Linked DNA regions of Caenorhabditis elegans. The protein of the gene in region 3 purifies or fractionates together with the protein of the main gene of each other region. This does not show direct contact. Each region holds a gene or a part of one and is shown on either strand. Other genes may lie near its edges.

Region 1 (7,050 bases), 4.4 Mb from region 3:
AATCAGCAATCGCGCTGAAAATTTATGGAATAAGGCCAAATATCGAGTTGCAACTGATGGAGCTGTTAATGAGATTCTTAAAAGGTGATCTAGGATCCAGAAATTGAAAATTATCGTAAACCGAGTTTTGGATTTCAGAAAGAGTTTCGTCGAATGGCCTCATATTATCTGCGGAGATTTCGATTCAATAAATAAACAGATTGATACAAAAAATGCAAAGTTAGTTTAAATTCTACTGAAATTAAAAATTAATATAGGCATTACTCAACTTCATTGTAATCGTGTTTCATGTTTGATAACATCTTCTATTAATGAGCAATGATAGAATTACTGTAGGGTTACTGTAGTGATCACAAAGAATTATTACTGTAGCGGCTGTTGAATATTAGCTAAAAGAATATATAGGCGTGAACGTTGAAAATAAAATTAAAATATTATTGAGTTGTGTTTTTAATACTGGAAGACTGAAAGCTACAATTCGTTGAGAAGAGTGTATTGACCAGGTCATAATAATGATTTTGCACTTTTTTTGGTATTTCTGGCTTGCCAACTAAATGTTATTCATTCTGTGTTCAGGACTAAAAAAATAAAAATATTTTGTCGAAAATTGTTCTTAATGTTGTTTTAGAGTCGTCCATCTGCCTGATCAAGACTACACAGATCTCTCGAAGAGCGTTCAGTGGTGCTTAGAGCAGAAAACACTAACAAGCTGGGAATTCGAGAATATCGTTGTTCTAGGAGGTCTCAATGGACGATTTGATCACACCATGTCAACGTTATCATCTTTAATAAGATTCGTTGATTCTCAAACTCCTGTGATCGTTTTGGATTCTAGAAATTTGGTTCTCGCTGTTCCTACAGTAATCCTTGGCAGGCCTATGTGAACATTAAGAGTTAAATTCAGGGGGATTCAAATCTTGATGTCAATCTTGAAATGACAACAAAAATGTGTGGAATCATTCCAATTGTTCAAAAGGAGACAATCGTCAGTTCAATTGGACTAAAATATGAAATGGGTATAATCCAATGTTTCAACATCATTTCTATTAAACGTTTCCATTTCAGAAAACCTTGCTCTTGAATTTGGAAAACTTATCAGCACGTCGAATGAAGTTACCACGAGCCAAGTATTTTTGAAATCTTCGTCGTCTCTGATTTTTTCAATTGAACTTGAAAATTGGGTCTACAAACTTGATTCTCTATAGTATCACATTTTATGGTCCCTCTTAATTCACAACTTTTCATTCCTTTGCTATTCAACTGTTCTATTTTCTTTTTATTCCATTTTTCCTAGTTTTCACCGGTACTATATAATTATCTACAATATTATAATACACTTTATTCCCTGTACCATTTTGTGTTGAAAACGAATTAATAAAAATAAAAACGAATTAATAGTATGAGATTAAAATTTTCATTTTAAAAGCAATGTTATTTGTTTAAAAAATATCCAATTCTAATGAATTATCTGCGAATATCCGATAGCGATTTCAAAAATCTAATGAAAATTGAAATTCAACTTTAAATCATTTGTAGATCAATTTTCTGATGCTTCTATCCACTTTCAAACGACATCTACCAATCAGGCGTCTCTTCTCATCAAATAAATTTGATCTGATTGTAATTGGAGCAGGATCTGGAGGACTTTCTTGTTCTAAAAGAGCAGCTGATCTTGGAGCAAACGTGGCATTAATTGATGCAGTTGAGCCAACTCCACATGGACATTCATGGGGAATCGGAGGAACTTGTGCAAATGTCGGATGCATTCCTAAAAAGTTAATGCACCAAGCAGCAATCGTCGGGAAAGAGGCAGGAATAATATTATAAATATTTAGAGCACTAAATTCAAAATTCCAGCTAAAACACGCAGACAAATATGGCTGGAATGGCATAGATCAAGAGAAAATCAAACATGATTGGAATGTGTTGTCAAAGAATGTGAATGATCGAGTAAAAGCAAACAATTGGATTTATAGAGTTCAATTAAATCAGAAGTATTTTTTTTAATTTTGTGGAAATTTTTATTTTTATGAAATTTAGAAAAATCAATTACTTCAATGCCTATGCCGAGTTTGTGGATAAAGACAAGATTGTGATAACTGGTACAGACAAAAATAAAACCAAGGTACGTTTGGAAAAATGAAAAAAGAAGTTTTAAAAAATTTGTTCCGTATACCCAAAAGTTTTGCGGCTTTTCGGAGGAGAATACGGTATCAGGTCTCGACACGACAATATAGTTTTCCGAAAAAACATAATTTATTCTAACAAGTTGTGATAAAATCTATAAAAATAATCTATAAAAATTCCGTAGCAACAAATGTTTGAGATGACAGTACTCGTTAAAGGCACAACTTTTCGCATTTGACAAAAATTTGTCGCGTCGAGACCTGGTACCGCATTTTTGGCGCAAACTTTAGGTAATAATAATATTGCTAGGAAACGGAAAATTAAAAAATTTCATCCTAGATTTTCAGAATTTTCTTTCCGCACCGAATGTAGTCATCTCAACAGGACTCCGTCCCAAATATCCAAATATTCCTGGTGCTGAACTTGGAATCACTTCAGACGATCTTTTTACACTGGCATCAGTTCCCGGAAAAACTTTGATTGTTGGTGGAGGATATGTTGCATTGGAATGTGCTGGATTTCTTTCTGCATTCAATCAAAATGTTGAAGTTCTTGTGAGATCAATTCCTTTGAAGGGTTTTGATAGAGATTGTGTGCATTTTGTCATGGAGCATCTGAAAACAACTGGAGTGAAAGTTAAGGAACACGTGGAAGTAGAACGTGTAGAAGCAGTTGGCAGTAAGAAGAAGGTTACATTCACTGGAAATGGTGGTGTTGAAGAATATGATACAGTTATTTGGGCGGCTGGTAGAGTTCCAAATTTGAAAAGTTTGAATTTGGATAATGCTGGAGTGAGGACTGATAAGAGATCTGGGAAGATTCTAGCAGATGAATTTGATAGAGCTTCCTGTAATGGTGTATATGCCGTTGGAGATATTGTTCAGGTACGATAAAAAAAGTAACATTTTTTTAAAATAAAAATGATAGTATTCAGGATCGCCAAGAGCTCACGCCACTTGCTATTCAATCCGGAAAACTTCTAGCTGATCGTCTTTTTTCAAATTCCAAACAAATAGTTCGATTCGATGGAGTTGCCACTACAGTATTCACGCCTCTTGAACTCTCAACCGTCGGGTTAACTGAGGAAGAAGCCATTCAGAAACATGGAGAAGATTCGATCGAAGTGTTTCATTCTCATTTTACTCCGTTTGAGTATGTTGTGCCACAGAATAAGGATAGCGGTTTTTGTTATGTGAAAGCCGTGTGTACAAGAGATGAATCGCAGAAAATTCTTGGTCTTCATTTTGTTGGACCAAATGCCGCAGAAGTAATTCAAGGTAATTGATTCAAAAAGAGAAATAGTCCGCCCCGCCCGTCACGAAAATGTTTTCTGAACACCTTCAATTTTGGAACAATGTTCGAAAAACCATAATCTGTTCGCAAAAACTTACGTGCTAAATCTGTTATTTTGAATTTTTTATCTTTTTCTTTATTGAATGAATAATATTACACATACGCAAAATTCTGCTATTTTTGCGCCAAAAATACGGCTTGATACGACAATTTTTAATGCAAAGAAAGTGTGCACCTTTAAATAATACTGAAAATTTAAACTTTCGCTGCTGTAGAATTTTTATCGATTTTTTAAAGATTTAATCACAACTTGAGACAATTAATAAATTTTTATCAAAAAGCTTTAAAAATCTACAAAATTTCTGCAGAATCGAGAGTCTGAAACTACAGTATTCTTTACAGGCGCGAAAAAATTTTATCGTGTCAAGTTCAGGTACCGTACTTTTGGCAATCAACTCACAATATTCTGCGGGTAGGTAATACTAACAACCTCGATAATCGATCAAGATACGAAAACTTTAAAAGCTAACCGATTGCACTAAATTATTTCAGGCTACGCAGTAGCATTCCGTGTTGGAATTTCAATGTCTGATCTTCAAAACACAATTGCCATTCATCCATGTTCTTCTGAAGAGTTCGTGAAGCTTCACATTACAAAACGATCTGGACAAGACCCAAGAACTCAGGGATGCTGTGGATAATTCAAAAAGTTTATTGACAAATCATTCAGTTTATTTATCAAAGTTAATTTACATCCTATTATCCTGGATACTAGTAATTATAATTAAACATAATAAATAGTACAAAATATTTGATTATCCTTTTTAAAAGATACCGGGAACTACATATTCTTAATGCGCATCGTGCTCATGGATGGGATCACATGTCTGACGAAGTGTCGAAATACGAGTTCCAGAAGTTGTTAGAATAGATATCACAGATGTTGTTGAACTCCATTTCTTCATTGGCTTCGAAACATTCTTCTTATGGAACTGGTGCTTCCGAAGCTCAGCCTTATAACGATCATCAAACATGATTACATAATTATCTGGCTCACAGAGTTGTACTCTTTGTTCCTTCTCTAATCCCCGCGTGAAAGCGTAAAAGTTTTTATAACCTCCTTCCAACAAATAAATCTCCTCATAATCACATCTCGGATAGATATTTGAATTCAGTTTTCTGTCCACTTCCCGAAGGTTGTTCGCCATGGTTGGTCCACGTTTTTGACTGTATTCACAGTAGAAAATGGGTATCCGGTTGATTTTCTTGGAACCATCTTTGTTGAAGAAGAAGTCTGCAGCAGTTTCTGGATTGAACAGGCTTTGAGCTCCCTGAAAAGATTTGCAGTTTTAACTTTCTGGTATTTTTTCAAAACAGTTATTATAATTCTTTTTTCTGAAACGCACACTTAAAGGCGCATGATTTGGTTTGGAAGGGTCTTGCCACGAAGGAAAGTAGATTTTTTATTAATTCTAAAATTAAATGTGTTTTCTGTTTTTGACAGAACCCATTAGAACGGACTCATGATTCTTTAAGTACGAGTTTTAAGAAGTACAGTATCCCATTCTCATATGGCATTTTCTCTCGAAAGAGTCTATTTATTGAAAAACTAAAATGATACACGGACACGAAGAGAGAATATAAATTACGAGGGTTACTGTAAACTTAAAGGTACACACTAAGACTTTGGAGTCTGGAAACGTAGTACAAACGGCAAAAACTAACCTTAATATGCCCTCCATTATATTCATAATCATATCGGCAATCAATTAGAATATATTTCTGCATAAACTCAATTTGCGATAGCTTCTGCATGATTTCAATTAACGTTTCAGAAGTGATTTTTTGGTATACGGTAGAACAGCTAGGCGTCACGGTTTCCAAATGATAATCCACTTGAAGATGGGCATTCCATGTCTCAATTTCCGAAGTTGAATGGCTCTTTTTTGAGAAAGTTAGTCTTTTCTTTATCACAATTTCAGAAGTATTCGCAGAATCCGTTCCAGATGTATATCCTCCATCAATGCTTCGTTTCCGAGTGGGTGGCGATGAGTTGGAGATGTGGCTGATCGCAGAAGAGTGTTGACGGTTTTGTCTGTAAATTATGGATTTATTGATATCGAACACAAATAATCAACTAACCTTGGGAATAGCTTCGAGGATCCTTCAGCACATTCAGAACATTTCAGCCGGAGCCCGTCATTGCGAACAATGCAGTTTTCACATGGAACGTCAACGCACATCAGGAGACTTGGAGCTAGACTGAACTAGGTATACCTGAATGAAAGAATGCAATAGAATGGATTTGAAGACTAAATGAAAAAAGAGAGACTGACTAGTCTAGTTTAATATGAATTGGAATGGGATCAGTAGAAAACCCTAATGAACACTCAATAAAATAAAACATTATTTTAGCGCGCAATGATCATGGACCCTCCCCTTTTATATGGTCCCCCTCGAGATCGATATAACCTATATAAAATGGGGCGGGCCGTTCTCCTGGGAAGACAATTGATCTCGCAATTGTGTGCCAAGGTGTCGTGTTAGTGTGGCGATGTGCACCTATTTCCGGGAGTGAGAATTTGACCTACGATTGTTTTCACCTTTAGAGCGGGAATTAGACAAAGAGAATATGAGTAGATTCGACTGGGAAGTTTTGATTCTGGGAAGAAACGGTGAGAATTGTCTCTAATTGTATTTAACTTTGAACAATTTTAAATAAAATTTTTGGTATAAGGTGTAGAATATGGCTTGTGGGCAAAACAATTGAAAATCATTAATTTGATGGATACCATAATAATTTTTAAAAAATTGGAAAAGAAAAAATTGGAAAAAGAAAATTTCCACCTATAAAAGGAAACGAAACCGGCTTCCAGGTTCTTGACTGACTCTTAACATATCTAGATCAGAAAGAACCATTGGTATTTCAAGAGTGAAATTTTTTATAACCATTCCTTTGGTGAAAAATACATTCTATGAAACTATTGAAAGCTCCTAAATTTTTGATAAACTTTTAAAATCAAAATCACTTCAACAAGGTGTTCGTTCTTCCAACAGCTTTCTACGTTTATTGTACAAAATACACTTTCATAAAAACGAATAGTCAAACTTTCAATTAGTATTTTTCAATCAATGTCGACTTGATAAATTGACAAAAATCAAAATGCCGAGTTATTTTTTGAGAAACTTAAATCTTCTGTTGTCAAATTATACGCGACAAACTATTAAAATAACAGTAGTGATACTAGTTTAGGGTATTTCATATTTGGCTACAGTATTCTACAGTGTTCCTACTGGGATAACGGAACCTAAGGTTCTTAGAAATTAATGTCAAATATGCGGGTAATCCAGCAAAATTTCCATTTTTCACTGTCTCATTAATATTTTGTAAAGTTTTATTTGGATGGTTCAGGCACCATTTGGCCCATGTAAAGGGGTGCTTCTTTTTTGAAAACTATTTTCCAACTGTCGCTACTCTACTTCTAAAACAGTTTTTATATTATTCTTCGAGTCATTTGAATTTCGAATCACTGTTTAATACAATTGAAAATAAGATTTATTCAAACTACCTACAGAACAAAAAAATCAATAGAGCAACAATGATTTTGAAGATTAGAGAACACTTTTACA
Region 2 (10,204 bases), on a different chromosome or scaffold from region 3:
CTCCCCCCTATCACAAACATGGTTTCCAAAATCTTTGATTCGCCGGAAGAGAGCAACTCTCTCTTAATGCACAACACAAAAAGTTGTTGCACAACACGCTGCACATGCTTCCCCGTGTCTAACAACGGCGGTAAAGCCTTCCTCTATGAGTCAATGATATGCTTTTGCCGCGCGGCAAGCTGTGTGGCCACCGGCAACGTCAAACAACCTCTGAAGACGATATGAGTGTAAAAGTGGCGAGAGTGTAAGAGCACACGCCAAATTATGTTTGTGCATTCTTTTTTGTTGTGTTGTAGAGTGATGATGAAAACGAAAAAAGATGAAGAATGAGGAATAAGCGTTGCTTAACGGAATGTTTGAGTATGCTGACCATTTGATTTTAGAGATAAAAGACGGGAAAATGCGGTAGCAAATGTGAATGAGCATGTTGCTCAGTGATCTTCAGGAATGACAAAGTAAAATCTAAGCTTGGCATTTAAAGAATACATATCATCAATTTATAGTCAAATGGTTGCTGAAACATGAAAAGAAACATTGGAAAAAATTAGCTTTTCTTTTTTTTAACGTGATTTTCAAGTAAAAAAATTGTTGAAGTTCCTTTTTTTCAAAAATTTTTTCTTATACATATATACTTTCGATAAGCGTAGAAATATATATAAAGTTAAAATAAAAAAGCAAAATATTCGAATACCCGCGTAAAATAATTTTAGGGTACAAATCAAGTTTACCTTTTTGGTGGCAAATTTTTCAGTGTCAATTTTTGAGCACCTAACCTACGATTTACCCGATTGGCTCTTTTTCTTTAAGAAAAACAAACCACAAAAATATAAATAACTTAAAAACAGTCACATTCAAAGGAACTACTTAAAATCGAAAAACCATGCAATTTTGCACTTTAAAATTTGATTTTTCAAAAATTCTTTGTTAAAAACCAAAAAAATAAGGTCGAAGGAAAATGGGATCAAAAAACGCTTCAGTTCAATTGACGAAATTGACAAAAACCATTCCACTTTTTTGAATGGTTTAGGCTCTTCAAAGAGGCAAATGGTGAAAACTATGTGTAAAACAGAAATTTCAAATTTTTAGGAGAAACAATTTGTTTAATGAATGAAGTTATTTCATTGTTGGAAGCATGAGTTTCTGATAATTAGCGTCAGTGGGGATCTTTTCCAAATGCACCAATAATGATATAAAATAACCATATTAAAACACTCCAAAAGTTTTTAGATTAAAAAAAAACTTCCAGTCAGTCAAAGAAGTTTTGGCTAGTTGCCAAATTTTGGAAAACCTTTTAAGAAAATCCAGAGCAATGTCGCAAGAGTCTACCCTTATAATGTTTTAAATCAACTAAATAGAATACAATTAAAGTATAAAAGTCGTCGAAAAAATAAATTTTTTTTGACCTGCTTCCAAAATTATGAGAGGCAAAAACTCAGTAATTGCAACTTTTTGAGAGTGAATAAAATTTCCAAAAATTTTTTTGGAAAGATTTACTATGATAGTATGCCAACTTCAATATACCCCACACTTCTTTCCGCGATATTAATCACAGACACGTGTCACCTACGTGTAATCACCGATGATCATCCAGTAGTGCATATGCCAATCACGTCAGAGTTGACGGTCTCTCATGCTCCCATAATGCTTAGCTCGATTCATTTTTCCGTGCCTTCCGGTCATCGTTTACATTGTGTTGTTGCTGCACACTGCTCAACGCCTTGGGGCGGCGCGAAAATGCGGGAGGTGCAGAACCGGAATGATTGGCACTGTATTATAAAAGTACGAGCAATGTTCCGTCGACTTGGGACATTCTCAATTACACCACAATTGAGCGTCATGTGGAAGTACGCGGTTGTCTTTTCTGCTATTTTTCTCATCCGTGAGTAGGCTTTTTCATTTCTAATTCATTTTATTGTTTTTTTTTAATTTTAGATATTGTGGATGCTGGCTTCCAAATTTCACAGCTCAAACCATTGTACAAAGAGGATAATATTACTATCAGTGAGCTTTCCACAGCACTTGGAGCAGCCTTTCCACCATGTTGCTCCGATATCATTTCGAGCATTGCCTGTAGAAGACTTCAACAGCACAATCCTTCGAAGTTCCTAGACAGGTTGGTTTTTTTTTAAACTTCATTAATTGTTTCAAATGCTCTCTGAAATTAAATATGAAGTTCAGATGCGCTACTGACGCTGATTTCTCTTTGATCCAATGTTGTAACACTTGTGGAATGGAAAGCGCTGCCGATAGATACGAGCTCATTTTCCAAGCCGGCCACAAATCCAACCAATGTTTCGACCGCCATGGATCAGAGTTCTGCAAGCGATTTTTGAAGAAGGAGGATGTTTGGGGAAAGGTAGGTGACGCTTTTCTAAATGTTTTCTAGACCACTTTTTTTTTGCAGTCTCAATGGTCTTGCGACGGATCGACTGCACATTTGGCGTTCCGCATTTGCAGAAAAACTTGCAACTTTTGCCGCAGAGATATTTATCGCACACCGCTCGGTCGATTTGAGCCAGTGTCTTGTGGAAAACCACCAGTTCTCATTCCGAACTAAATGTCACACTGGAAACGTAATTTATTCATTCTTATTTTTTAATATTTCTTACTCATTTATTTATTTATCTATTCAATACTTACTAATCTGTTGTAATATATTTTCCTAATTTCATGACGAAAATTAACGAGATCTCGATCGAACCTTTTTAAAATTCCAATTTATTTATTTTAATGATTAATAAAATCTTCACAAAAAAAAAGCTTGGACTTTGAAATTCGTAAAAATGACAATCTTATCAAATGATGGACACTTTTGAGATAGTAAAAAACAGAGTGTAGAGGGCAATCTTATCTCTTCTCTCCATCTTTTTCCATATCGATCTTGTTCGATAACCAGAAAAAGTAGTGTTGTAGATAGTGCGAGCCCCATTCTAGGTCTATTACTCTCTATTTCTCACTATGTGTTCTCGATTTTTTGGCCAAAAACGTTCGTTTTCCAAATTTCTTCAAATTTCTCCACAAGTTAAGGAGGCTCTAGCTAGCGGAGAAGGAGTTGTCGCGCTGGAGAGTACAGTGATCACACATGGACTTCCTTACCCTCATAATTTAAGGTAGTGAATTGCAAATGCATTTGAAACTATTAAAAAATTATTTGCAGTACTGCAAGAAGTTTGGAGCAAAAAGTTCGATCATCAGGAAGTCATCCAGCTACGATTGCGTTATTTGATGGAAAAGTAGGTTTTTTCGCTAGAACTTGTTTCTGAAAATTTAAATTATTAAATGATACTTTTATTGCTGCCACGTTCGTTTTTCTAGCAGACTGCGACATTTTATACCAATATTTTCATATAAAACAATAATATTTTTTTATTCAAAAACTGCCAAAATTAGTGTTTCATCAACTAAAAATTCTTAGGAATTTTTGTGAAAACTTAAACGCTATAAAATTAAAAATCATTTTTTGAAAATTTTAAATAGTGTATACCTAAACATTTTCATTTTATTCAGATTCATGTTGGATTGGATGATGAAAAACTGGAACTTCTTGCTTCAAGTCAGAATGCAGTCAAAGTTTCCTCCAGGGATATCGCAAAGACACTGATTAAAGTAAGTTTGATCTACTATGATAAATTTTTCAATGTTGATTTCAGAAAGAAGTTGGAGGAACTACAGTAGCTTCAACTATGAAGATAGCACACGCAGCTGGGATCAGTGTATTTGCAACAGGTGGCATTGGTGGAGTACATCGTGGTGCAGATCAGAGTGAGTTGTTTCATGTGTTTGGTGTTTTTTTTTTGACCCGTGAAGTTTTAGGAAAATTGTTGAATTTGGACAATTTTTTTTACCATTTATTCAAGTTCTTTTTTTTCCGAACAGCAAAAAAATTTTCCAGCATTCGATGTTTCGGCTGATCTTCAAGAACTTTCGCAAACTCCCGTGTGTGTGGTGTGCTCTGGAGTCAAAAGCATTTTAGACATACCCAAAACTGTCGAATATCTTGAAACTCATTCCGTGAACTGCATAGTTTATGGGCAAGAAAATGTGTTTCCAAGCTTTTTCACTAGAACATCAGATAGAAAAGCTCAATTCTGCACTGAATCATTGGAAGAAGTTGTTCACCTGTTAAGTGAGTTGATGAAAAATATTGGTTCATGAAGTAAAGTCATGAAGTGTTTCAGAAACCTCGAAATCTCTCGGATTACCTTATGGAACTATTCTGGCTTGTCCTATTCCTGAAAAATATGCAGCTGATGGAGATGCGATCCAGAAAGCAATTGACCAAGCTGTTCAAGAAGCCATGTAAGTTAAAATTTAAATATGTTGCACTTTTTAAAAATATTTTTTGAAAAGTTCCCTGTTTTGCTTCAAAACTTTACTTTCAGTGAACAAAACATCGCTTCACAAAGTGTCACCCCATTCATTCTTGCAAGAGTGAACGAGCTCACACAAGGAGCTTCAATGGCTACAAGTATGCGTTTTGAACAATTTTTCCGCTGTTAATTGTCATTTTACAGACATTGCACTTCTCGAGAATAATGCGTCAATTGCTGGAAGACTAGCCGCAAAGCTCTGCGATAGACGTCCACTTACAATTTCACAGAGCCAACCAACTGCATCAACGACTCGAAAACCAAAAGTGGTGAGTCAAACCTACAATAAAGTTTTTTTTATTCACTTGCGAAATGTGGTATTGTTCTCATAAAAGTTTGAAACAACACAAGCTGTCTTAGCAAACAACCAACGCCTACTAGTTTCAATGACATTTATTTGTCAAACGTATCAAACAGATCACGACTGTTTTTCAGGTTTCTATCGGAGCAACTATCGTTGACTTTGAAGCCATCACGAGTGAAGATGTAAAGGTGAGAATGAAACAAAGAACAATTGAAAATGAGCAACAACAAAAAAAATCAGAAAAAAACATTTGGGGAATGGAGTATACCAAAAAAAAAAAAACCAAAAAAAACATGACAATTTAGAAAAGAAAAACTTTTGAAAAACACGTAAAAAATTATGATGAAAGAAACTTAGAGATTTGAGTGGTTTGCGGATTTTAAAGTGATTGAGCCGTGGAAAGTTGTCTGAAGGGGACCTAACGGTTCAGACATGGCACAGAAAAGTAGACACAAGTGAAACCGCCATAAAAAATTATTGAAAAAATTTTGAAAAGTTTCATTACGAAATTCGTTTATTTGAGTTCATTTTATTCGAAATTTGCATTATTAGATCAAAATTGCCCAAACCGTTTAAACTCATTTAAAAACAAAGTTAGAGAAAAATAATATACACTAGGTGAAACACTCTCGACAATTTGCTGCAACTCATCCACCAACTGCTGCAACTTTAGCAATGCCAAGCGAAGAAGTTGCTAAATTTGGGAAAAAGGTTGGATAAAATTGATCAAAGTAGGTAAACTTAGTAGAAAGTGCTTGGCCAAAGTTGTAGATATGTTTCTATAGTTCGTAGAAACGTTGCAAAAGTTGGTGTATAAGTTGTGACAAATTGCCGAACTAGTAAGATTCATCAAAATATTATTTTACCAACAACATCTCTTATACCAACATCACACCCTTGCAAACACTTTCACAAAAACCCCTGAACTGTCGGAATGAAAAAAGGAGAAACTGAACTGAACCCCCAAAAATTAAAACTGTTCAGTAACAGCAGCCGCCTCAAGTTGTCGTGCATTATGAGCAGCAATCGCTTGTTGTAGCTCTTCCCGAATTTCATCCCCACGGACCGTAAATTCGTTCTCCACCTCCTCGATTACAGAGTGCTTCAAGAAAGGTGAATATCCTGGGAAACTTTTAACGCGGCTGATTCCTGATGTTTGGGTTGACGTGCTGTCAGCCAAGTTGATATTGCTCTTGAAGCTCTCGATGTAACCATCTCCATGGCGGTCACTGAAATATAATTGTTGATTATTAATGCTCCTCAAGTCATAGTTATTACTATTCATTAATCATCTGAGAGTAGTATTCAAGTTCCGCCATTTCTGTTTCAACTTTCTCGATATCTTTTCGAAGAGCTGCGATCATGAACAACTTCAGCGGCGTGATCACACAAAAAGCAAGACATCCGACTATTTCTGTATTGGAATGGAGCCATCTGCAAGATTTTTTTGTTCATATAATTTCAGTTTTTCCTGAAAGATATGTTACCTCTTGAGATGAATATAGCAGTCATTGGAATGTCCAGTTGGGCAAAACGATTTTGTAACGTTTAGAAAATCTGAAATACAGAATTTTATGAGGGGAACAACTGTAGAAACTAGATACCTGCACATGTTTGTAACACTTCTTCGGGTGGGCAGCAAATCAAAGTCTGATAGACGTTATCCCAGACAGAGCATAGTTCTTTCTGAAAATTAATAACACGTGTTAAAAAATTACACAATTTATCAAAATTTTGCATGGTGATATTGAAAAATCTGAAAATGTTTTCAGTGTTCTAGTATAATTTTCAGCATTTTTGGACTATAATAAATGTAATTAAAGTTGATCATAATTGCAACCGAATGTATTCAAACTTTTTGAAACAATTTAGCAATAAGAACTGCGCCGGGAGCGGAAAAGTCATGAGATCCCAAATTCCACGTATATGTGCTAAAATGTGTAATCAAGACCATCTGATTTTTTTTGGTCAGAGTGATAGACTAATAATTTGGTAGGCTGAACTAGGCTGAAAACAATGCTGCATAGGTTTTTTGTCAGTGCGAGTTTTCAAATCATTAAAAAGGAGGTCTTGTAGAAATTGGACACACTGTATCAATAATTAGTATTCCTCAATGAGTTTAATAACTCCTATTTTTCCACGTTTTGTTCTGCACAAACTGTACTGGTTTAACTTTAAAAAATCAACCTAACTGTATACTTGGTTTTTCTCCCGGATTTCAAAATCTTGAATACTTACACTGCTATTGTGAAGTACTTGAATGTGGGAATATAGCGAGGTGTGAGCTGTGGACATGATGCTTGCAAAAACGAAAACCATGACAGCATCCACAATAAGTGTACAGCACTTTATCCAATGACAAAAAACGACAACGCCAATTTGTCTTTTCCGAATTGCAACAATTGATGCGATACACAAAAGTGCCTGAAAACAATGGTTTTTGATGATACATAGTGAAACTATTAAGTTCGGAGCTTTGCACTACTCACCAAACAAATATTGATGAAGCAGTATCCAAGAACATATGGATCATTCTTTTTGATAGGAATCAGCACGAATAATGGGCTTGTGAGCATGACAATCGTGGCGCCAAGAAAGAGAAAAACGGCAAGCAGGAGTATCATATTGCTCCCATAAAGCCATGCCGCTTTACCAAACCGCATGCTGAAAACTTGTTATAATTATGGCAAAGTGATTCTGAAAATCAATGATGAAGGTACAAAAAACAGGAACGGGGAAAGATTTTTGAAAAGAAAGACGAACAGGAAAACACACACCTCGCACATGTTTGTTTCTTCTTTCTCTCTCTCTCTACGAGGATTGATTGTGAGAGAAACAGTGCTGATGGCTCGTCTGTATGATTGATGAAAAGTGGGAGGCCAAGACAAAAAAAGAGAAAGAACAAAATAAAATAAATGAAAACTGTGTGGCAGAAGCTTCCGGCACACTGCCAATCGGAGAGCAAGCTTTCTGATTCATTGCTATTTGAACAAAGTATCAATGCGCTACTGTCACACATTTAAGTGATCGCTTCAAAGCACATAATGTTTTTTTTTCTAAAGAATTGAGATTGAGAATTTGATATTGAACTCCAATATATATAATATCCGGTAACACTTAAATGATTTCAGGATGATGGCGGCTCATACAACGGACAAGTGGTACAGCGAATGGGAGGAGTAGCAAGGAATCACGCGGATGCATTAGCAAGGTCAGAAATACTCGTAAATTAGAATGTCATCGCTTGTGCGTCGCGCTAAAAGACGCACCACCACTTTCACTTTTGGCACACAGTTTTCATACATTCACAAGAAATCGAAATGATATGTTTTTCTTCCTGACCATTTTTGTTTTGAATTGAAGAAAAAAAATTGCTAAGAATTTGTAGCGTGGTCAAAGTACAGTGCATATTGGGATAAATAATTGGAATGATGTGAAAATGTAGTGTTCAAATGAGGGGTGGGTAATTGCCGTTCGGCAAATCGGCAAACTTGCCGGAATTGCTCAACTCCGGCAATTTGCTAATTTGCCGTTTGCCGGTATCAGTTTGCCGGAAATTTCTAAAAGGATTTTCGATAAGGCGAAAACACTGAACCGTGCCATTATGAAATGTTTTCCTGTTTTTGAATTATATTCACATATAAATTGCTTACTTTCAAAATAGATGTAGGGTGATCCGTAGGATGCGTACAATTTTGCGGTTCAAAATTTAAATGTGTATAGAGTTAAAGAAAAAATGTGTAAAACCTTAATTTGCCGATAATTTTTGGCCATTGCCGTTTTCTGGCAAATTCGCCGATTTGCCGAATTTGGCAAAAATTTGAAAAACAGCAATCCACCCCCGGTATACTAAACCAAATACAGAAATACAAAATGTCATAAAACTAATCAAGTCCATTTGCATTTATGGACTTGTGGCTTTCATTTTTTGTTCAAACCAAAAGCACAAGCGAGACCTTTTAACTTCTCATCACATCAAGATAGTACAATGTCACTGTAAACTTCAAAGATGACCGACAACACAATACCACCAAACCTGATGCTCAAACGAAAGTAAATGTTGCCGAGGTATTTGTGTGGATCGCAAAAGAGCGAAAAAGTAATTTGAACTCGGTCTCTTTGGAATTCGATTTTTTTCTGCTCTTATTTTGACAAACATCCCAAGATCGTTGTTCAGTTTTGTAATTGTTTTGTGTACGATCAATTGTTTGATTGACTTTTGTCTGATAGTTTTGCACTTCAATTGAACTTTAACTGTATTGCAGGCTTGAGCCACGGCGCGCAAAGTGCTTGATTTGAAAATAGCTTTATCTTAAAATATATTTTTTATTTCAGGCTTGGATGTGATTCAGTTTTCATTTCTGCTATTGGCGATGACAACAACGGACATTTCTTCAGACAGAACAGTCATAAAATTGTAGGAAATTTTTTTGTTGTTTCTCATGGAAATTTTCGTGTCGTTTAGGATATTAATCGAGTAAAGATTATAAGCAACAAACCAACTTGCACTTATTTAGCAGTCAACGTGAAAGGAAACGTGAAATATGGAATTGTTACTTGTGAGCCACTTCTGAGTGTCATTACTCCGTCATTGGTGGGTATAATAGGATACGAGGCAAAAAATAGTTGTTTTTTCAGGTTGAAAGCAATGAAGATGCATTGGAATCATCAGATTTCATTCTTCTTGATTCAAATCTATCAGTTCCAGTTATGGCCAGAGTTTTAGAAATTGCAAAGAAACATGATAAACAAGGTATGGTGACTTACATAGAATTAACAAAAACAGACAAAAATATACAAGGCTTCAGTTTGGCTCGAGCCCACGGACATTGACAAAGTGAAAAAGGTGTTCGACACAGGCTTGGTTGGAGCTGTAACTGCCGCATCGCCAAATGCCAATGAGTTTCTGAAATGGGCTAAACTCTGTCACGTCTCCGTAGATCCGTCGGTCATTGATACAGCCGATGGTGTGCTGGAACTTATAGAAAAGGAGAAAACTAAGCTGCTACTCAATACTTCCATTTTTATTGTGACATTGGCGAATAAGGGATCGGCAGTGGTATATAGGTAGGGTATTTTGCATTTTCTACAAATTGCCAAGCTTGAATTTTAAAACGCAACTATTACTGTTGTGCTGAATAGGGCTTCCTTGCAGACGCGAAACACCTGCCGTGCCCGCCTCGCTAAATGAACAATTTTCCAAAAATTGCCTGAAAAGGTTTTTTGAAAAAAGATATTTGACCATTCCATTCTAAGTGTTCTAAACTAATATGTATAAAATTTATTTTCAGAAATAAACTTGGCCAACTTGAATTCCAATCGCTCCCACCTCCACTTCAAATGAACAAAGTCGTATCGGTTTCCGGTGCCGGTGATAGTTTCAACAGTGGAGTAATTGCTGGATTGGCTCATAACAAAACAGTCGTCGAATCTCTCCAAATTGGACAAGAATGTGCTCGTCTAACTCTTCAAACGTCTCTGGCAATTTCTGATGCGATAACCCCGAATTTATTAGCGTAGACGGGGATGG
Region 3 (6,514 bases):
TTTCGGAATTTCCATAAAAGGGAAAAGTTTCTCATTAAAAGCACTGAAACCGGTATAATTCAAAAACACTGAAGTACAGAAATCGGGGTTTTTGTATAATGGCACAGCGGTTGTTCGATTTCCGGATCGTCTCTTCAAGTCTAGGATCAATGATTTTGATAGTTGAATGGTCTTTTGAATCACTCCTCGCAGGTTTTGATAGTCGTTGTGATGATACATTCTCTGGAAAACAAAACAAATCGATATTATATACCTATTTGAGAACTTAAAAAACTACAAAAAGAAACTTGCCTTCAGCTTGGAAAATTGCTGCTCACTCGGGTTGTTTGTGAACTCTAATCCGTTTCGAACCCTCTCTCTACAGTTCCAAAAATCAACGGGATATCGAGCATCTTCTCCAAAATAGAATTTTTCGAGGTAGCTGAAGAAATCTGAAAAACGAGAATAATTGATTTCATGACAAGATTTTTCAAACCTTTCAATGCTGGATGCATATTAACTGTTCGACATTTCAGAAGACGGAGCCAAAGAAGTACTTTGTCGTGTGGAGCAAAACTGAGAGTATAAATCGATTTTAAAAGATTCACGAATTCCGGCTTATTGATATCGTCTCCAACAGCTGAAATTTTGAATTAGGTTAGCAGCATTAAATATTTAGGTTTACCTTTTCGCAGATTTTTAAAAAGATTCACTTTGAAGTGACGCCAACATCCAAAAATGTCCGCATTCGGCCACACAGCTCTGCTCGCATTAACACTGGCCACTTCAAAGTCTGGATAGGTTGATAAATTTAATAAATATAACCAACGTTTACCTGAAAATACGTATTTTGGTTGGATTCCACTACGTAGGAAAGATAGGAACAAACGTCTGTACAAATCTTCTTTGGCAGAGCCACACAAAGCAAAAACCAATGGAACTGCCACGTTCGTATCGAGATCCTGCAATGTCATTGGTTGACATCAAAATACCTTTCAATTAATACGCACCGTGACTGTTGCGATGTAAAGCTGTCGATAATTTTTCGGAATTTCTGAGAATTTCCCATCCAAATGCAAGCTGTGTGCACCATACAAAGATTCAGCTTCCTCTGCTTGCCACACAACTAGCAAATCCTTATTAGACTCAAACGTTCCAGAACTGTCTAAACAACATTTTCCTCCTTTAAAATAGGCAGAATCGAGGGCTGGTGGAAAACTATTCGTCGATTTCCTACTCAGCATACCGTCCAGTATGCGACTGATTTCTTTCTGGAAAAAGTATATGTTTTATTGATTCCACGATTTATTATTTACGTTGCTCTTGAGAAGTTCAACAACTTCATATCTTTTTGAAAGTGTAACAGCAAGCTCATAAAGGCGTTCTTTTGATGGTGAAGAAGACATTGATGAAACTGCGATTTTTCTCATAATTAATTGCACCTAAAATATAAATTTAGTTTTGAAAAACGTAAATTTCAGTATACTGCAATTTCGCTTCTCCTCGATTCGTGATCACAATCACGACTGACTTTCACATGGCCTGTCTCAGTCTTGATACGCACGGATCCGGGGCACTTTCTCGAGTTTTCCAGTGTAACGTTACATCTGAAATAAATTAATGAAATGTGTGACAAAAAATAAAATTTTTTCCTAGCGATAATTCACCTAGCCACAATGTCCCCATTTTTCAGTGTTTCTCTCGGACGATAGCTTTGATTGTTGAAAATGACCAATGGAGCTCCTCGTTTCGTCGAAATACTGAAATTGCATAGTTTCTATGTTTAATTGTTTTAGAAGTTAGAAGGCATACCAAAAATCTGAACTATTCTCGCTGATATATTCCGGTGCCATTTCAAGCACCCTCTTGGGCTATTGGCAATCGGTCTATAGTGCATCAGAGAACGTAACACGTGTGACTTGCTGGAATTTTATATTTTGATAGAGTTATTGATTAATAACAACCTATTTGTCAAAAACCAATCCGGATGGTATGGAGTCTCTTCGTCTTCAAACGGAGATTGATATGAATTGTGACCTAAAAATACAACGTCTGTTATTTCTATTTAATTATTAGTTAAGACCTACACAGAAGATTGAATTCACTGGTTTCCTGTAGATCGTGATCCATTTCTTCGGGAAATACAGCTGGATCAAAATCAAAAAATCTTTCAGTATTTGCCATGGAATCTGTTGTATCCAAGCTTGTTTCCTGAGTAGAATTGGCTATTGAATCGCATTCCGGGATATCGTCAGTGGATCTCGGCTCATCGAGCTCTCGAGAATTTGAAGGAAACTGCATATACGAATCAGACCGACGTGGTGATGCAGGTGGAGTAACCAGATCGATTGTTGCAGGAGTCGATTCACATACATTTGTAGTAGACGCTTTCGGATTTCTTTTCTTCTTTAGATCCCTGTCGAACGCTGAAAAATACTTTTCACTCTTCAATTAATCTTTAGACATCAATACTTGCCTCTAAAAAAGCGTTTGGCTCCGCTTGGATCACTCTCAGCATCAAGTTCTTCTTTTTCCGGGAAGGAAATGCTCATTTTCGATTAATATTAATTTTGATCGATTCGAAATCGATTGCAACCCGTTTTTGTCATCGAAAATTCTGAAAATATCCGTATTTAGCTCGAATAAAACTAATTAATTTCCATTAAAAATCCGTTTTTAATTGAATTCCGTTCGAAATTTCCTGTTGGAAAAAGAAATAAATAAATACGAAGAAGCGTGCGGCGCATTGCAAAAAGCCGTGCGGCGCATTGCGAAGGACTGTGCGGCGGGCTTGCGAAAAGGCGCGCAGCACATTGCCCTACTGAAAGCGTTCCTTACGAAAAAATCCCCTTACGAAAACGTACCCCCTCGATTAGAATAGAACAGTTTAGCAATTTCTAACAATTAATTAAACAAAATTTGGATGAAAAGTCTTTAAAATGTATCAATTCATTGTGCCGCAATTAATTTAGGCCAACATTAAATTTAAAAATTTTACATTTACCGCATCTTCTCGTTTGTCCGAGAGGACTACACCACTCGCTCCTAGCGAGACCTTCCACCGGCGAAAGTGCCTGCGCCTTTAAATTTTGAATCTATTTTTTTGTTTCTACGCAACGATTTTTCTTCTTTTTCTCTTATTTTTCTCTAATATTCACTATAAATATTTATTAATTTTCAGAAAAATGCAAGAAGACGACTCGGTGAAACCTTTTCAGACCGTCGGCGCTCACAGAGATCTCATTCATTGTGTATGTTGGCTTGATTTCGAAAAATTAGATAAAAACTGAAGATTTTTATTTCCAGGTTTCATTCGATCCTCATGGCCGACGAATGGCAACATGTGCCAGCGATATGACAATGGCGATTTGGGATCGAAAGCCAGACGGAAATTGGCGTAGATCTGCACACTGGAAGGTAGAAAAGAAATTTCAGAAAATAAAATAATTTTCCTCATTTCAGTGTCATGGTGGAGCAGTTTGGCGCGTTATTTGGGCTCATCCGGAATTTGGGCAGATTGTTGCGTAAGAAACTAGAAACTGTCACCCGAATATACTTTATTGATTGATTTTCAGCACCTGCTCCTACGACAGAACGATTGTAATTTGGGAGGAGCAAATTGTGAGATCAGAGAAAGATCTGAGTGAGTATAATTCGCTCTAAATATAATCCAAAACATTATGTATCTCTCAGAGCAAAAAGAATCCCAATGGATCCGAAGAACAATCATCTCCGATAATCGTTCAGACGTCACCGATATCTGCTTCTCCCCGCGCCATCTGGGTCTCATGATGGCATCATGCAACGTTCTCGGAACCGTCAGAATCTACGAAGCACCGGATATTGTGGACGCTTCTCGATGGAATCTTATTCACGAGCTTCAAGCGTTTCATACCCGATGTGGATGTGTCACATGGTCACTTTCTCGTATGCACCGCCCGTTGATTGCTGTTGGTTCGGATGAGAAGAAGGCAGAGAACAAGAAACGAGTTGTGATCTATGAGAATATTGATGGATTGAGGAAATGGCAGCGAATCAACTCATTAGTCTTCGATCTACCATGCCCGATTACTGATTTGAAGTAGGAAGAACACGCTCTCCTCGGAGCCGAATAATTATTACAGCGCGCTTGCCTTTCCATTGAAAATAGCAGATTTTTCAGTATTAAAAAATCCGCTCTTTGAATAATTTTTTGTCTAGAAATTCCAAAAAATAATCGAATTTTCTAAAATCCGATATTTATCGGATTTGTGTCTAAAAATTTCAAAAACAATCGTATTTTCTTGAAAAATCCGCAATTTTATCAATTTTTTGCCTGAAAATTTTAAAAATAATTGAAATGTTCTGAAAATTCCGCTATTTTAACAAAATTCAAAAAATATTTAAAATTTTCTTGAAAAATCCGCTATTTTAACAATTTTTTGTCTAAAAATTCCAACAAAAAAAATTGAATTTTCTGGAAAAGTCCGCAGTTTTATCAATTTTTTGTCTGAAAATTCCAAAAATTATTGGAATTTTCTTGAAAAATTCGCTATTTTAATAATTTTTGTCTAAAAATTTCAAAAAAAATCGAATTTTCTTGAAAAATCCGCTATTTTATCAATTTTTTGTCTGAAAATTTCAAAAAAAAATTTCCGCTATTTTAACTATAATATTTAAAATGTTCAGATTCTCGCCGATATCGATGGTGGATTCGCATCAATTAGCCGTTGCATCAGGCGATGTTCACGTCTACAACATCAAAGTGGCTCGTTCGGCGATTCTCGAAGAAGACGGTGTCGAGAATCCGATTCAGCTGGCGGATTACAATCTGATCAAGGTGGCACTGCTCGGGGATCATCGAAAAGCATGGAGGCTTCGATATAATCTCATGGGATCAGTCATCTCGTCGACGAGCTTGGATGGAACACTGAGATCCTGGAAATGTTGGGAAAAAATCAAAAAGAGTCAAAAATGAAATAAAATTGATTTTCAGCACTCTTCGTGAACCAATGGGTAAAGCTGAGTGAGATGAATGTCGACGACTACGTTCCATCGCCTGAAGAAGTTCGCGCCTTCATCTCATCGAAAACTACCGAACGTCTTCCATCACAACTCGAGAAAACCTATTTCTAACGATATTTTTCTCTATTTTTTCTCGCCGATCATTTTTTTTCCGAATGATTTCTTATCAAAGCGTGTATTATTATTTGTTATCATCATCTGAAAACTGAAAACCGAGAACATTATCACCGATTTTTTTTTGATGTTTAAGTATTTTATCAATCTTCTGTTTAATTTTCAGATTTTTCATGCTGATCGGTTTCTGCAAGAATTAAACATTCCACTTATCTAACTTATGTAATTTTCAACGGTTTTTGTGCCTAGAAATATTTTTTGGACGTTTTTGTTAATTCTTTTTGCATTCAACATTCACCTAAATTCGAAAATTAAATATTTACTGAAACCCGATACTGTCTTTTTCACAGTTTCCACAATACCTCCATCAATTATTGTTGATTTTATCTCTTTTCCAAATCTAGGGATAGTGGGTTACTCGCAGAGAAATAGAGAAACGGCAAGGTCATTTACCTGGCCTTTTCTCATCCACACATGTCGGAATAATTGTGGTATTAGTGTCCTTATCTGCAAAATTTCGATTTTTTAAAACTTTTGTTGTCTTTTCCACAATTTTATTGCAAAATTTAAGCACTTTCTAATTTTCAGAATGACTCTTGGATGTGCAAAGCTTGACAAGCAAGTTGCCGATTGGCTCGCTTGGGATAAGAATGATAAGAATCGTAATGAAATTCAAAAGCTGGTTGATGAGAAGAACGTTGATGCATTGAAAGCTCGTATGGATACTCGATTGGTTTTTGGAACTGCTGGTGAGAAGAAAATAATATTACACAGCTGCAGTGTGTAAACGGTGGAAGAAACGCAGCTATATTGGGACAAAGGGAGGAAGACCCGAAATTGTGTAGATTTACAGAGTGTGAATCTTCATTATTACGGGAATGCATATTGCGCAACTTATTTGACGCGCAAAATATCTCATAGCGAAAGCTACAATAATTCTTTTAATGGCTACTGTAGTCAATTTTCGAAACAATCTGTATCTGTCGCTATTCGAAAAACATTTATTCTCGAAAACCGAGCCCACACGTGGAGTCAGAAAGTCCCATTTCGCTTTGATCTACAAAAAATGCGGGAGAAGAGACGCAGAGTTCTTAGCCGAATTCGCATGGTTAAGAGCGTGCTGGCGCCACATTTTTCTGGTAAAAAATTCCCGCATTTTTTGTAGATCAAGCTATATTGGGACAGCCAGACACCAAGTGAGCCCATAAATCTACACAAGCGCTACACTAGTTTAAAGAATTACTGTAGTTTTCGCTACGAGATATTTTGCGCAATGCGCATTCTCAAAGATTTGTGTTCCCGTATCACACGGTCCCCACATCTCTGCGTCTCTCCACTGTCTACACTCTGAAGAAGCTGGGTGATATTAACAGGAGAACAGTAGAGATTCAAAAGTACAGCTCAAAATATAAACGTA
Region 4 (7,609 bases), on a different chromosome or scaffold from region 3:
CTTCATTGTTTTTTGGGGGAGAAAAATCAATTTCAACTCTAAAAAGTTCAATTTGAATTGTTTTTTTCGGTTTTTGAGTCGTTTTCGCGGAATAAAAGTAAAATATTTCAAAAAAATCGATTTTTCGCAGTGAAACAACAATTCACACGGAAAGGCGACGCGTAAAAATCGATTATTTGCAAGGAAAGAACAATTTACACGTGAGGAGACGAAGTGAAGAACGTAGAACGAGTTCTATTTAAAAAATTCGAATAAGATAACCTGAAAAATTGTGATGAAATGTTTTTCAGAGCCGAAGGAAATTGTTCAATGAAATTATTGTACAAATTGGTTTGCAAGCTATTCATTGAACATTAAGAGCGATATTTTATTGATCATGATAATTATTTACAGATAAGGATAATATTACATTTAATGAATTACATAATTTCAACAAAAAAACAATAATTTGTCATGAAAACGGAAGAATTTGGAGGATGAGCAGCTCGGGCGGATCTGAAAAATTTAAATTAGAACTTTCATAATGACATCGCTGATATATAAATGAAAAAAGATTTTATCTGGTCTATTATCAGATTCGCTTAGTTTTTAGAGGCTTTTGGCTTAAATGAATGCAATTACAAAATTCTACACAATTCAATTGAGAAGTCTACGGTTTGGAGTCTTAACGTTCACAGAGACGTACAATCGAAAAGAACTGATCGCCCGCCACTATACAGAAATTCCGACTTCAAAAGAGCAGTGACAGCAAATTATAGCTGTTTCAACGATTTCAATGCCTCTATAAGTCCATATATGTTCGATCCGAAGATATTTCATTAATTTTTTGTTAAACTATTTCAATTTTTGTTCTTAAATCAATTTTTTCCTACTTTCTACAATTTGAGAATATAATACTCACGTGGGTGGCCTGGAGAAGCACATCCCTGTTTCATCCGTGCAATTTCCCTCGATTCGACGAAGTCTAGAAATTAAAAAAATTGATAAAATATGAGAGGGAAAGAGATTAACAAAAGGAATACACGAATTAAGGAGGGCGAATTAACAAGTCACGGTTGAAAAATACTTTTTTTTGCGAAAATGGCTGAAAAAAACGAAGAAAAACAATTCAAATTGAACTTTTTAGAGTCGAAATTGATTTTTCTCCCCCAAAAAACAATGAAGAAAATCATCATTCAAAACCGTGCGGAGGTTGCAGAAATGGGCGTATTGTAAGGCACGGTTCTGTGGGCGTGGCCAATCCCCCGAGTTGGGAATCCCCCCAGTTGGACATCCCCCGAGTTCTTCGGGTCTCAGTTTTGTTCAGTCTCTCGTTGTCTGCATGTCCGAAGTACGCAAACACGGATGTACACCGTACATTGGCGCCAATAATCATAATTATGCGCGCGTGGAACGAAGTTTGATTTCGATTTCAAATCATTTTACAAACTTTTGTTTTTATCGTTCAAAGGATTTTAAAATCGATTTTCAACGCGTTGCAACGTAATAATTATACGTAATAAGATCTTATTCTTCATAGAAACGTTATTGTTTTTATTCACGCGGCGCTCTTTTTTCAAAAAGTAAGCAATCACGAATGCTGAATTCTCAATTAAACATTTTTTAAATTGACTCTTTCCCCAGTCACTTGCCTGCAACTCATCTCCCGTTATTAATTTTCATCTCTGTGAACGCGTGAGTAACATTTTTCTGCTAAAGTGAGCGCACCGGTGTCTCGTTGTCGTTTTTATGTTTTCTATTTGCGGGAAATTTAAATGCTCTTGTCTTCATGTATTTGTTAGTTAATAATTCCGTAGAACATTTTCTTTTTCAGGCTGTGAAACTTAAAAAATGGCGTCATCCGAGGGATCCTATAGAGATCTTGAGAAAAAACTGAAAAATGGACTTACTTCAATCTCGCAGGACATTGTGGACAAGTATGGAAACCTGAAAGTGTCACTCAATGTTAACGCGACAGCCAAGCTTATTTTCGACCGACTTGAGAACCTCGAGGATATAGCTGAAATGTCTACTCGAAATCTGTCTAACTTAATTGATCAGACAGCAAAGGACAGCCCCGAAATGCTCGCAGAGATTAAATCCCAAGCTCAAAGCTGCGAAAATCTGGTGGAATTCCTGCAATCGGTAATGGTTCGAAAATAAGCATATAAAACAATTGAGTTTTCAGATGAAAAATGTCGAAGAACAATTGATAATTATGCGGAGTAAAACAACGAATCGTGTAGAATGGGGAACTGCTATTCTTGCTTGTAAAGATTTTCTCAATGACACAAACATGCTGCTTGAAGGAATTGGACGAGACGGTTTCGACATGAGTGTTCCATTGAAGCATTTTGCCGCAGAATATTCGGTTTTAAGCTACAATTGTCGTTACCAATTGTCCGCTGACTACGAAAGAGCAATGAATGTTCCAAAACTGTCAAAACAGAAATGTGGAGATCGTACAAATGTTTCTTTCTCAGTATTCAATGTTGGAAGCGTGGAAGATCAGAAAATGCTGAACGAAACTCTAAGTGCTATGAATATGATTGGACAATTACCAGAACGACTGGACGCTTGGAAAATCGTTATCTTGAACGTGTTCTGTGAAGCGATTGTTGCTAGCCGCGATGGTGTTGACGTATATATTGTGGATAATCCAACACCTGATCAGACAAGATTCTTGATAAACCAAAAACCACGTGGCAAGAAGGACAAGACTATTGATGTCGCAAAAGTTCTCGAGTGAGCGAAAACCACTTTAAAATTCTGAAATTTAATTAAATATGGTTGTTTCAGGTCAATGGAAGTGTTTTTTACGAAGTTGCACTCCGTTCTTCATTCTCACGAACTGCTGGACGCGACTGGAAAGACTTTCACGTCGATGATCGGAAGCGTTATTGAGGAACAACTGATAACTATGATACTGAAAGATGTAATTGCGATTGCAGCACCCGTCACTGAAACTGCTGACGAAGATCAGGAGATGTTCATTAATTTGTTGCAAATTGGAGAGGTCTTTGTCGAAAGAATGAAGGAGCTCGGATTCTTTTCTCAGAAAGCAAAGTTGCTGTTCACTCTTGACACGGACACAATTTTTGTGACTCGTCGTTGCTTTGCGATCGTTTCAAAAGCGAATAAATTGATAAATGAAACGTATGACAAACTGGTTACAGTTGGAGTTGATGATTCAGCCATCAAGGATATTGATTTGCTTGCAAAGGCTCATACACATGCCGAACATTTTGCTAAAGAATATGGAAAAGATCTTGGACGTCTTTGGAGCCATAATGAAGATTCGCAGTTTCCATCATTCTTCGCTTTCCAGAAATGTACAGTCAGGTAATTTTTTAAAGTGTTTATTATTTTTTTCTAAAAAATAATTTTCAGTGAATCAACTATCAACTTTGTCAATCTTCTCCGTGATAACGTGAAGGCTGCGTTTGCCTGTGAAGATGAAGGTGCTCGTGCGAAACTCGCTCTTACCGCCGAGAATATTGTTCGTCTCTACGTGATTCTCACACCAAGGAAGCATGCTGAGTTGTTCAGTTCGATCCCGAACATGGCTGCCATTTTTTACAACAACTGTCATTATATATCACACTGCATTATGACGATGTCGTTTGAGGCTAGTGGTGACAATCAGAAGACGTTATTGGAACCATTGCTCCTTGATTCTGTTATCAGATTGCGTACTGTTGCCGCTGATTGCATGGAAAAGACACTGACAAGATGCCGTCGCGAAATGACTGCTTATTTGGAGGATCATAGCATCTTTGAACACTTGCCTGCAAGTTATAAGACTACAAAGAATACATTTGCTGCTGCTGAAGAGATGTCCGAGTCGGCTGATATTCTTGTTCCGAGAGAAGAGCCAAAAATTATCAAATGTCTTGCCGCCTGCCTTCTTCATATTCGCCTTATTGCAAAAAATCTTCGTGAACCTTTGACTGAGGTGGTATACTGTAAGGTGATTGGATCACTCGTCTCGTTCCTGTTGGATTCTCTTGTGCGCCACGTTGTCACCACTTCCGATTTCCGCGAAAATGATGCTAACGTGATGGCTGACGTTTTCAAAAGACTTTTGGAAGTTGTTGCCAATATTGTCGCCTATAAGGAGCAGACAAAAGTGACCGATTTCTGTGCTCGAGAGTATTTCCGTCTTAATGAAATTGTGTTCGTTCTTGGAAACAGAATGCAGGTTGGTTTTTTTTCAAATATCGTGTAAAGTATTGTTTTGATGAAAGTGAAGTTTTGACCATGGAACTTTAGAGAAACTTTTTTAAAATAAAAAAGTTCTTCTAAAACAAGTGAAATTGCGAATATTTAAAGCAATTTATTTTCAAAAATTGGATTTTTTCAAATATTGGAAAAAGGAAAATATTAAAAGTTACCCTTTTTGAAATAGTGAAAAATCAAAAAAACACCCTTGTTTCGGACGTCGACTTTTGATGTTTTGATTTAACATAAATATGAAATTTACATGTGTTTTGTTCCGAAAGTCTAGAAATTATAAATAATTTTTATGCTAATTTTTCAGGATATCGAGCATCGATGGTTCAACGCTAAGGGTCCAATGGCAGAACATTTGAGCCGATCCGAAGTTGTTGGACTGATTAAAGCATTATTCGCCGACTCGCAACATCGTTCTGATCTTATCGCTCGTTTATAATGTGTATTAAACTAATTCATATTCTCTTCCACGCCAATACATTATTCATTTTTAATTTTTAACTGGCGTTGTGTTTCACTGTTTTACCGGTTTCCAGTATGTTTCCCCCAATGTTTTCTGAATAAAGTTAAACATCGGTGACGGTTTCCGATCAGTTCGCACTCGACACAATAGCCTTGGAATGTTGCCAACTTTTTTCAAATGCATTCCGTTGGCGCCCTCTGGAGAGTGCAGACAACAAGACGCCACTTTGAAAGGTCGGGGGCGCCCACCAGAAGGCGTATGTCATATGATGGTGGCACAGATGAAGGCGAAAGTCGAGCTTCATCACATTGAACCAGTTGTGACTTTTAATCCCGTCCGCAAGGGCCGCCCGTTTCCTTTCCCGGGCGGGCGACAATACGTTCTACTCTACTTATTTGTTTATTCTATTCTATTTCTCTCTGCAGCTTCTGCATTTATCCACCACATCGCAACAGCTTTCCTTTTTTCCGTTTTCTTCATATTCCTGAAGAAAATGAAAAGTGGTAATAAACAATTCGCGTTTTTTGAAGTGCCATGATTACTGTAGTCTTTTATATGTTTGGCTTTTGGTGGATATTAACTTACTCATTTTTTAAATGAAATTTGATACATCGCTTGATTCCTAGGTGATATTTCGAATCTTATTTCATTGGTTTTATTTGAAAATATAAATTCCTGTCTCAAAGAATAATAATCTCAAAATCTCCCTACAACTTCGGGTCCTGGCACGAACCAAACTTTTATACTACCGTATCCATGAGTTCGCAAGGGTGTTCGAAATATATGAAGTCGATATTTGGAGTTTATATTTTTCAATAAATATGTTTAAAGATTTTAACAAAAAAAATTGAAAAGTCGGTGAACGTGAAGGAAAAAGAGACACGGTTGCTGAGAATTTTTGACCGTTTCGGGACCCAGGGGTTTTCGTATCACATTTCTTGGATTGCATATTAATTTATAACAGTGTATTATTAATTTGTATTGGTAATCCTTAACTTTCAACTCAACTTTCAACTTCCACAGACGTACGAATGAGTAATAAGTTGTTTTCTAGTTCTTCTGTTTACTAGATTAATCGTTCTCTAATTTCCAGTTTTTTCAATGAAAAATGTATATTATTATTTCGAACTATTTTACCATCCCATTAATCTTTAATCAAATAGTTATCGTCTAATGGGCAAATTTACTTCACTTGAGAAAAAACCATTCCTAATACTAATTTCATGTCACCCTTGTACATCTTCTCATATTATTCTCCCTTTCTAAATCCAAATATGTCCTTTTGTGACACCCCATCACAAGAAGAAGAAACATGTATTTTTAGAGACATAGAAGTGTAAATTGCACCTGTTCATTGCCTGTTCTTTTCCCATCCCGCGCACGCGGTCAGTGGTAAAAAGTTGTAAAAGAACAGATGTGGTGCCCCTTTCTTTGCTTCAATTGCCCTGTGATGCAGCAACAAAAATATTAAAATTATATTTTATTATTATTGAAGTGATGTAGTCTAAACTTACCGTAGCATAGGAAATAGTAAAAATTGTTGAAAGTTATTTTTTATTTTCACTCAAATATCAAAAAAAAAATTCAAATTTTGTTTACTAACTACATACATAGTTTACACAAAATATCAGTTATATTTCCGCTGATTCATTCAAAAAATGCAAATATTTTTCCATTTTTCCGGTCCCGCGAAACTAATAATCTCTTGCCTTTTCTCTCTTTTTTCACTCGGTTTATTTCGGCTTTCAGACCTATTCATAGTGGGGAAATTTGTGTGGAATTGGGAAAATTCTCTGCGTCTCTTGCTCTCTTTCAGTCAGTCAGTAGAATTGTATTTGTGCCAACTGTCACATTGTGTTGTTTCTGGTGGCAGGTGTCTAGGTATACCTTTTTCCTCAATACTATGACACACCCTACACACCATGTTAGGTATTCGCTTTATTTGCGTGTGGTGGGTAGTACTAATTGACAAAAATCAATTTATCGTCTTGCATGTAATTATGTACTTGTATGAAAGGCTAATTTTTCAAGTTGTCTGTAGTACGGCTAATATTCGCAAACCTCGTAAAAAACGTTTTTTTTTTTCAGAAATTTGTCAGTGCTTCAACGTGTTTAGAAGTTGATTTGAGATAGTTTAGAAATTGCTCTAACTGCTAACATTATCTAATATCATTGTAAACTATTCAAAAAAAATGTTGGAATTTTTAATTTACAGTAATTTACAGAAAAGTGGTAATCATTCAGTTTTCATATATCGTAGTTTTGGAATTCGAAGGTGCAATAATCCTCCGAATGTTTCAAAAAAATTGCAATTTTAGAAAATTTGACAATTTACCAAAACTAACTGAAAATTTTAAAACTCCAAAGACACTTTGGAATTTTCGATTTATTTTTTTGTTCATTTCAAAACTATTTTGACATAATTCTCACTGGCGTTGATCTTTTTTTACGGAAGTTTTATTATGACAATGGATTTTCAATTAGGGCTCAGGGTGTTCCAATACTACATGCATGGGAAAACTAACTGTATTTAGAGGAAATATGTTTTTTTTGCAGTTATACATTCTGTTCATAGTTCGAAAAATCATAAACTCCATCTTTAACTTACGTGGCCTTTTGTTCTAAATTTGTTCAGTTCTCTGTATTTTCCTCCTTTGTGCTCAACATTTTTTACGTGGAATTCTGAGTTCATCTGTTATTTCTCACAGTAATCTGGTCTTCGAGCTTTTCCTCATAAAATTTGGTAAACATTGGTTATAAAAGACGCGCGTGACAGAAACAGCAGAAGCTACTCAAAATCTTCTTCTCCTTCTTTGCCTTCTTTTTTGTTTCTCTCATCTATTTTAGAATTCTCTTATCCTTTCTGTTTCTTCTTTTTCTTCAATGAATATCCCGTTATCCATTTCCATTTCAGAGAGCCAACAATGCCAAATT

Evidence for each region.
Region 1: the proteins of npp-18 (region 3) and trxr-2 fractionate together in Caenorhabditis elegans (co-fractionation; one large-scale study listed by BioGRID). This does not show direct contact.
Region 2: the proteins of npp-18 (region 3) and T24C12.3 fractionate together in Caenorhabditis elegans (co-fractionation; one large-scale study listed by BioGRID). This does not show direct contact.
Region 4: the proteins of npp-18 (region 3) and czw-1 fractionate together in Caenorhabditis elegans (co-fractionation; one large-scale study listed by BioGRID). This does not show direct contact.

The regions. Positions count from the first base shown.
Region 1 is NC_003281.10:8,912,233-8,919,282, forward strand, and holds trxr-2 (putative glutathione reductase 2), read left to right. Parts: upstream 1-1,536; 5' UTR 1,537-1,548; coding exon 1,549-1,809; intron 1,810-1,857; coding exon 1,858-1,994; intron 1,995-2,040; coding exon 2,041-2,125; intron 2,126-2,474; coding exon 2,475-3,011; intron 3,012-3,061; coding exon 3,062-3,404; intron 3,405-3,972; coding exon 3,973-4,121; 3' UTR 4,122-4,227; downstream 4,228-7,050. Other genes in the region: tpk-1 (thiamine pyrophosphokinase 1), read left to right, coding at 1-84, 139-219, 629-860, 905-1,016, 1,066-1,205; M-phase inducer phosphatase cdc-25.3, read right to left, coding at 4,272-4,751, 5,146-5,515, 5,563-5,663.
Region 2 is NC_003284.9:2,196,594-2,206,797, reverse strand, and holds the start of T24C12.3 (Carbohydrate kinase PfkB domain-containing protein), read left to right. Parts: upstream 1-2,904; 5' UTR 2,905-2,958; coding exon 2,959-3,110; intron 3,111-3,157; coding exon 3,158-3,233; intron 3,234-3,507; coding exon 3,508-3,606; intron 3,607-3,650; coding exon 3,651-3,762; intron 3,763-3,892; coding exon 3,893-4,126; intron 4,127-4,178; coding exon 4,179-4,299; intron 4,300-4,382; coding exon 4,383-4,468; intron 4,469-4,514; coding exon 4,515-4,639; intron 4,640-4,805; coding exon 4,806-4,862; intron 4,863-5,644; coding exon of another isoform or gene 5,645-5,903; intron 5,904-5,952; coding exon of another isoform or gene 5,953-6,108; intron 6,109-6,161; coding exon of another isoform or gene 6,162-6,231; intron 6,232-6,278; coding exon of another isoform or gene 6,279-6,360; intron 6,361-6,912; coding exon of another isoform or gene 6,913-7,098; intron 7,099-7,163; coding exon of another isoform or gene 7,164-7,337; exon of another isoform or gene 7,338-7,358; intron 7,359-7,805; coding exon 7,806-7,885; intron 7,886-9,009; coding exon 9,010-9,091; intron 9,092-9,139; coding exon 9,140-9,268; intron 9,269-9,312; coding exon 9,313-9,427; and 5 more. Other genes in the region: T24C12.4 (ShKT domain-containing protein), read left to right, coding at 1,837-1,879, 1,933-2,113, 2,179-2,356, 2,405-2,557; T24C12.1 (Tetraspanin family protein), read right to left, coding at 5,645-5,903, 5,953-6,108, 6,162-6,231, 6,279-6,360, 6,913-7,098, 7,164-7,337.
Region 3 is NC_003281.10:13,293,693-13,300,206, forward strand, and holds npp-18 (Nucleoporin SEH1), read left to right. Parts: upstream 1-3,160; 5' UTR 3,161-3,164; coding exon 3,165-3,230; intron 3,231-3,285; coding exon 3,286-3,396; intron 3,397-3,441; coding exon 3,442-3,503; intron 3,504-3,554; coding exon 3,555-3,622; intron 3,623-3,672; coding exon 3,673-4,060; intron 4,061-4,647; coding exon 4,648-4,904; intron 4,905-4,954; coding exon 4,955-5,094; 3' UTR 5,095-5,301; downstream 5,302-6,514. Other genes in the region: pgm-2 (Phosphoglucomutase-2), read left to right, coding at 5,687-5,846. UniProt on the Caenorhabditis elegans protein: Probable component of the nuclear pore complex (NPC) which is involved in the trafficking of macromolecules between the cytoplasm and nucleus. As a component of the GATOR complex may function in the amino acid-sensing branch of the TORC1 signaling pathway.
Region 4 is NC_003282.8:7,940,797-7,948,405, reverse strand, and holds czw-1 (Centromere/kinetochore protein zw10 homolog), read left to right. Parts: upstream 1-1,813; 5' UTR 1,814-1,830; coding exon 1,831-2,124; intron 2,125-2,167; coding exon 2,168-2,724; intron 2,725-2,778; coding exon 2,779-3,321; intron 3,322-3,369; coding exon 3,370-4,180; intron 4,181-4,519; coding exon 4,520-4,651; 3' UTR 4,652-4,786; downstream 4,787-7,609. Other genes in the region: F20D12.12 (uncharacterized protein), read right to left, coding at 452-495, 902-935; exc-9 (Cysteine-rich protein 1), read left to right, coding at 7,600-7,609. UniProt on the Caenorhabditis elegans protein: Essential component of the mitotic checkpoint, which prevents cells from prematurely exiting mitosis. Required for the assembly of the dynein-dynactin and mdf-1-mdf-2 complexes onto kinetochores.